Linked DNA regions of Oreochromis niloticus. The protein of the gene in region 1 interacts with the protein of each later gene in a pairwise test. Links are inferred from orthologs where the notes say so. Each region holds a gene or a part of one and is shown in the gene's direction. Other genes may lie near its edges.

Evidence for each region. The genes of interacting proteins can lie anywhere in the genome.
Region 2: the proteins of drap1 (region 1) and nfyba interact in binary tests that used the Homo sapiens proteins (3 or more experiments, as listed by UniProt). The two-hybrid records come from large-scale screens. The link is inferred for Oreochromis niloticus from reciprocal best matches to the Homo sapiens genes DRAP1 and NFYB.

The regions. Positions count from the first base shown.
Region 1 is NC_031967.2:4,881,836-4,885,588, forward strand, and holds the start of drap1 (dr1-associated corepressor), read left to right. Parts: upstream 1-1,051; 5' UTR 1,052-1,199; coding exon 1,200-1,241; intron 1,242-1,831; coding exon 1,832-1,904; intron 1,905-2,109; coding exon 2,110-2,203; intron 2,204-3,335; coding exon 3,336-3,461; intron 3,462-3,753. Other genes in the region: lg3h11orf68 (UPF0696 protein C11orf68 homolog), read right to left, coding at 1-79. UniProt on the Homo sapiens protein: The association of the DR1/DRAP1 heterodimer with TBP results in a functional repression of both activated and basal transcription of class II genes.
Region 2 is NC_031981.2:37,510,821-37,514,573, forward strand, and holds the start of nfyba (nuclear transcription factor Y, beta a), read left to right. Parts: upstream 1-1,060; 5' UTR 1,061-1,082; coding exon 1,083-1,193; intron 1,194-1,202; exon of another isoform or gene 1,203-1,353; intron 1,354-1,503; exon of another isoform or gene 1,504-2,806; intron 2,807-2,899; coding exon 2,900-2,993; intron 2,994-3,090; coding exon 3,091-3,221; intron 3,222-3,227; exon of another isoform or gene 3,228-3,753. UniProt on the Homo sapiens protein: Component of the sequence-specific heterotrimeric transcription factor (NF-Y) which specifically recognizes a 5'-CCAAT-3' box motif found in the promoters of its target genes.

The DNA.
Region 1 (3,753 bases):
CCATGGCTTCAGCAGCGTAGGTCTCTGCAGCAAAGGGGGTCCTCATCTCGCCATCAACAGGGCCCTCTTCTTCCTCCATAATGGTATAGCAGTTACACGAGTAAACAAGTTCTGAAGCCTTCCTGTTGAGTTGAAGAATGCAGTTATTATTTTTATAAAAACCACTGGTTTAGCCTCTGTGTTAGCTTACAACCCCTTTGCTGTGATTTATTAGCTTACAACCCTGCCAAACTTCGACAGAAGTGGACAACTGAATTGCTTATGAATGCTAATAGCTAGCCTGCTACAACAGCGAAAGTTAGCGTTTCTCTACCACTGATTCTGTTTCACACTAAAGCTGCTATCGACCCCAGTGTACCGCCTACAGCTGACATGTCAAAGAACACGTAGAACAGCTTTCTGACTGCTTTAGCCTTGTTGTAGCTAGCCGACAAGCTAGTCTTTATAAATGTACACGCTCGTCCTTTTAGAGAAACATTAACCATTTCTAGCCAGCTGTTGAATACAACTGACGCTTTAACATTCACAGTTTTCCCATTTAAAACGTAAATAATCGCACGTCGATGTTAAACTTTGAACATAAAGGCTTACTCTACCCGTAGATGTCCAAGTTTGTTGTTCAGTGTTGATCTTCCGCATAAGCACAGCAGCTCCTCCGTATCTAAGAGCCAAAGTCCACTCAGGTGGCTGACAGTTTAACTAATAATTATTTATACATCAATTAAATTTCGTACCTCGTCCACAAATTCGACCGTATGGAACACATGATATAAATATATATTTTTACGTTTTGCTATAACATAATTATAAAAATAAGTTATGTTGTACTAGATTCAGCGACTTTTAAGAAACTTGCATGTTCCTCGGTATGTGTACATGTTAAATATGTAAGTTTCCTACATCAGTGTTTGTGTTTGTTAAGCTTTAAAAAATAAACCTGTTCCATTACTATCGTTAAAGTATTTCGTTTCTTTGCATTTGCGGAACAACATGCGCTCCAACCTGACGGCACGGAGACCCTGCGGAAACAAACTGACCGCACCGAGGAACGAGTGACGAAGACGACGTGCTAACTAGTTAGCCGGATAGCCACCACTATCTGGTGTGTGCGCGGTGGAGGCGAATTTCTGTATGAAATAGAATACGAATATAGCATATATTGTATTTTAGTTTAGTTTAGCCACCCAGGTAATTTAATTATGCCCAGCAAAAAGAAGAAATACAACGCCAGATTTCCTCCGGTAAGTTTAAACTGTGCTGAGCCGGTGTCAAAGCAAGCTAACGTTAGCAAAGTGTAACATGGAAAGCTAAGTTCTGTAACTAGCTTAAGTGGAATTCGGCCTCTTTTGTTGCTTAGAGAGCAGACAAGCCATCTAACACTCGCAAACCATTTAGTTTACAAAGCACGTGCCTTAGTGAAAAGTAGTTGATTTCATGAAGTTAGTGACCAAACATCCCCTATATGTCATTAGTTGGTGGTGTACACACATAGCAGGCGTGCTATTTAAGTTGGTCTACTAATTGACGTTGTTTTTAGCATCTCAAGCTAGGCTAAGCGGCACGCAAATAAATGTGAATAAATCCATTCTTTATTATAATAAGCTGCATAATGTATCTACAATCCTCACACTACGTGACTAGTGTAAAAGGAATGATTGCCGTTACTTTGTGGGGACCTCACATTATTCGATGTGGTGTACTGCAAACTCTTTACTAAGTTGTCCCTGAATTTCAGTGCGTTTTCACTGAAAATGATTTTTTTTTTAAGGAAAAGAAAATTTTAAGCGTTTCTGTAGACACATGCATAAAAATCGACCTTTTCTCATTTCAGGCAAGGATTAAGAAGATTATGCAGACAGATGAAGAAATAGGCAAAGTGGCTGCAGCAGTGCCTGTTATTATATGTATCCTTTCTGCCTGCAGTCGTCACTGTGCAAGTTTTGTCTTGAATGATAAATTGTAAAAGTCAAAGACTGATTAATAATTAGAGAAAAATGCTTCCTCAGTCTGTTGTGTTGTTGTGTCAAGTTGTCTATTATTGCATGTTTGATGATTTTAAAGTTCAAACACACAACTGCTTCACTGTACTTCCCTTATCCAAGATATCAGCGAGAGCCCTGGAGCTTTTTTTGGAGTCGTTGCTTACAAAGGCTTGTCAAGTCACCCAATCTAGGAATGCAAAGACAATGACAACGGCACATCTGTAAGTTCTGTGTTTGTCTTCATTGTGTTGCATTGTGTTGGAGATGAACTTCTTAGGAAGGCAAAGCCATCTGCTGTTCAGATATATGCTGTTCAGGTATATTAGGGTCAGAAAGAGGTAGTTGAAGAAAAGGGGAAAGTTGTTTATATAGAATTGTATTTGTTTTTATTGAGTGTGGCTGAAATGCTGTCAGGCCTTTATTTTCTTTATTTTTAAAGTGGACTCATGGTGAACTTCCAGCTCGATAATTTCATTCTTGGACTTTACTAAAGTAGCTTTGCTTGATTCACATTTAAAAATAACGATTATTCATAATATACACAATACACTTATTTTAAGTCAGTTTTCTTCTGATTAGTTTTAACAGTACAAAGTTCTTTCATCTCATTCAATCAAATTTCACAAAATGGGAATTGTGCAAAATTTCAGGTCTTCACAGTCATTAGTTTACTCAAGAAAATAATCCTCAGTGAAATGTTGAAAATAGGAGTGTTTTTGAATAATTCCCTAGCATAATTTTTTTTCTTTCTCATCTTCCTAAGAAAAAATTGCCTAAAACACTTTAAAGTAGATAATGTCATATTAAAATAGCCCCTCAAAAATGATATTGGAAAATGTCTAAAAACCTGGAAATATCATCCCTTGAAATATTTTTGAGAAAGCTAATAACAGCCAGGACCTGAAACTTTCTACGATTCCTATTTAGGATGTGTATCCTCCACCTGGAATGTTTTTTCAGGTAAGATGGTGAGGTGAGAAAGCATTTGATGAACTGACAAGGACTGGCCCTATACATTGCAAAAAGATAAATAAATAAATAAGTAAGGAAAATTATTATGAGCCGCTTTTGCAAAAAAAATGGCATCCTGTTACACAGCATGATTTACTGTGTGGTGGGAGCCTGATAGTGCTGTGGAGCACATTTGCAGCACATTGCCGAATCCCTTGTATCTGAAAGTATTTCTGGCCTGTGTAAGACAGAGCCCGCCAAAACAATCTTTCCCTGTGACTCAGACTGTATGTGTTGCTAAAATGAGTATGTACACCATTAAGCTTGCTGTCTTTTTGATACGAGCTTACATTTCACTTGGCAAGTAAGGCTGAGGAGAAAACTGTTCATATTTATTCACAGAAAGCAATGCATTGAGCTGGAGCAGCAGTTTGATTTTTTAAAAGACCTTGTTGCAGCGGTGCCAGACATGCAGGGAGAGGGGGAAGAGAACCACACCGAGGGGGGAGGAGAGAAAGTCCCACGAAGGTAATATTTGCTCACACAGACACCCAAACATGTAGAGAAAGAGTCATGATGCTTTGAAAGCGAAGGAGTATTTCACATACACAGTGAAAACACTCCAGGGTGATATGAGGCAGCCAATCCAGCTGCAGATAATTTGGACTTATTTCATTAAGCAGTTTGTAATTCAGTCTGCTCTGATAAGTGCACACACGCACATCGGTTTAAACTAAAAATGATTCGCACGAACAGACAGAATCTGTGCACGTTATCTTTTCCTCTTCTGGAAATGAGCACTGCTGTAAATTGGAACCGA
Region 2 (3,753 bases), on another chromosome or scaffold:
CGCTAAATGACGTCAACGCCTAATTTGCATAATTGGTCATGCTAATGTAATTGTAACCTGTTGGAGAGAGAAATAACATCGTGGAAGAGACATAAAGTCAGTATAAAACGTCCTAAATGCATTTAGAATTTATTTAGAACTACAAATTAAATTTCTTTTTGCAATTATTGTTTTTTAATGTCACAATTCCAACCCTGCTCCTTTATCCGGGCTTGGACCGGCAAAAGTGACCCGAAATCGGCACTCTGGTGGAGTTACTGTGTGTGTGTGTGTGTGTGTTTATAAGTAGTTTTAAAACTTGTGATCCACAAAACAGCATAACAGTAAAATAAGATCTGACTGCGTTACAGTCAGTGTGGGAGCAGCGGCTTCGCTCATGCACGATTCATTTGCAGTTTGGACGCATAGGTGTGAACATGTCCTGCCCTGATAGCAGCTGGGGGAGGACTATCCTCCGCCTGTGAGTGCTTTGGCACGGGTAAGGTGCCCACGGCAGCACCGCTGCTTGTTAACAGTAAGAGTGATACGCGCTTTCACGTCAAAAAGTCATCATAAATAAGTCTCCAATAACACCAGAAAAAGTCGCCAGATTTGTCGCTAGTCGCTTTTTAGAAAAAAAAGTCGCTAAGGGGGTCTGAAAACTCGCTAAATATAGCGACAAAGTCGCTAAGTTGGCAACACTGCGTAGACGTTGTCTGGATATCCACGCGCTACAAGATGCGTTAACTTGCTGCCGTAAATGTAGGAACTAATAAAACCGAAAGAAAATTACATTTTCTGTGATATTACATTATATCTAATGTGTACTTTATCTAACGATGTAAGAGTTTTCTACTTCGTTTATGTTACTTGGACATACATTTCGATAACAGTACCAACTACCATTCCTATGTAGATTTGGGCTTGTGCGGTACTGAAGGTCCTGAACGCAGCACGGGCCTCTACTGTTGAGATGGGGTAGTGCAGCCGCGGCTCCGCGCTGGGACTGGTCCTTTTGCAGCCATTTTCTGTCCAACCAAACAGCCGTCTCAGGAAGGTAACCAACCAGGGCTTCATTGCAGGTTTGTTCCTGGCTCCGGCCAATGATTGCTAACCGATTTCTCGTTAGCTCGAATGGAAATGTCCGTCTCTGTCTGATTTTTTTATTTGTTGTCTGGGTGAACGAGGGCTGCTCATCAGGAAGTATCCAGCGGGTGAAAGTTTAAAAATGACTACTAAACATTTCGGCCCCGGTCACGTCTTGCTATGCTGTGCACCACAAAGAACAGGCCAAGGCGGACGCGAATTGCGTTGGATTTGCAGTGAGAATGTATTCAAGGGACACTGTGTGCCTGAATAGGTTAACTACTGAAGGTAACAGCCCACTGGAAAGCTTCTCTTCATTACGTTAAAAGCACTGGTTTCCCCAATATTGGCGAGCCCACGGGCTAACTTCATCCCCGGGTTAACATTAGCTAACATTAGCTAAAAATGTCACAGCTGCGACTGATAACCGCTACTTACCACACGGTAGCCAAACACATGCCAGTGTATTTAGCATGTGGCTAACGTAAGCTGGCCTCACCGTTGGCTTACAGCTGTTTTACGTTTTCCCTTTCAGATAAATGCTAACAGTTCCAGTGGGTAGCTAGCTGTGTCATGCCAAGTTAAACATTTCTCAGTGTAAACACACAGGCCGATATAAAAGTGCGCACAGTATGAGGGAGCGCTGTTATTGTGGCATTCCTCGTTATACATGTCAGAAAATATGTCTGAGCACCAAAGTGCACTACTTAACCAAGCTAGCCGTTAGTAGAAACCCAGGTTGATGATAAACCCTCTAAAACAAGCATCAGGACACAATAGCAACAAACCCGCCAAGTCCGTCTGCTGGAAAACAAAAACACACGCATGTATCAGGATTCGGTGACAACACAAAACACGTTTGGCGCACTATTAACGGCTAGGTTATCTCCACCCAGTAAGAGCTACCGATATTTAGTGTACACCGAAATGTTGGATGACTTCGTATTACGCTATAAAAACATTGTGATGGCCTTCTCTCCCTGATAGATGCGATGTTATAATAAAGTAGCCTTTGCCTTTAGCTTACCAGTTGATTGAATAACTGAAGGACCTCGTTAATTCATACGTATTAAAAGGGAAAAAAAATTAAACTGTCCTAACCTGCAAAAAATTAAAGCTACTTTTAGCTGCCCCCTTATTTACAAAGAGTCGCTACAGTAACTGCATCTTTTACTTGGTATTATTTTTAATGCCCTTCCTGACACAACCCCAAAGGGATTTGTCTCCTTCTGGGATCGAACCGGGATCTTTCACTTGTTAGGTCAACCCTTGATGCACGTTTCGCTGTTGATCGCAGGGCTTGACATGTGGCCTAAAACATTAGGATAAAAATGCTCAAATCAGTCAACACTGATCATTGTCATGATCCATTTAAAAAAATTATTTCTTCAAACTTTAAAAGTTCTGTTTTCATTTAAACAACACCTTACCCTACTCGATACAACAGTGGTTCTGCTACTGTCAAACAAAAGATCAATAAATAAAATGGATGAATGGTTTGTTAACAGGTCATAGCTGCACTTTCTTTTGTGTTGGCCCATGTCAGACATCTCTAGGTCAGTCGGAGTGTTGGCGTCACAGTGTAGCTTCGGAGAAAAACAGCAAGCTGTCATTATTTATTCTGCTTCATAGCTCAGAGCATAGTAAAACAGCATGTGGTGGTCCCAAAGGAAAACATCTTCTCCTTCCTTGAGGAGCATGCTTGCAGGGACCCTTCTAAATAACTCAGATCATTCCTAAGGTGTGGCTCTAAGAAGCTGGCTACAGTCAGGCTTCACGGGTTTACTGTAGTGCTACAGATCCAAATAACTAAGCCAGCTGTGTGGTATTGCAGATGGACGGAGACAGCTCGACCACCGACGCCTCCCAGCTGGGCATCACTGGAGAGTACATGGCTTCCAGTCACTATGTTCTCCAGCCTCAGGAAGGTAAGGAAAAAACAAAGTGTCAGTAGAAAATCATCATCTTCACTGAAGTGCTTTTTGGCTTTGTTCTCATAGAGCTGACTCTGTGTGTGTTTTATAGATGATGGAGATGAGAATCTGAATGACCATGAAGACGGCAGCAGTAAGGAGAACTACAGGGAACAGGACATATATCTTCCCATTGCTAATGTGGCTCGCATCATGAAGAATGCTGTTCCTCAGACTGGAAAGGTTTGTGAGGGATGAAGGGAAGAGAAATGCATACGGCTGATGCTCTGCATTAGTTTTAGTTCTTTAAGATAGGTAACATGTGGGCTAAGGTAAAGCTGATCGCCTTGGTTATTTGAAAGGAAACGGAAACAATAACGGCTTCATACAGTATGTTATTCTAAGTGTTCGCATGGATGGATACATCAGGAAATTTGGGGGTCTTTATTTAGTTAGGGGACGTGAACAGGAGGATCTGGAGTTGAGCTCAAAGAGATTCTTAACCTCCTCAGTTTCACTTTCATCCTGGCCCCCTTTAAATAGCTTTCACTATTACAATAACTGAAAGCTTTGCCCAGCAAGAAGGGCTGTCTGCTGAGATATCTCACTCATGCTACTTTGAGAACCAGGGTTAGAGATAAGAGATCACTCTTTATTGTCATTGCACAGTCATACCTAGTACAATAGTGCTGTACAGGTCCTTCAGGGAGGGAAGAGGATGTCCAATGATTTTTTGGGCCATATTAATGACCCTCTGAAGTGCTTTTTTGTGTGC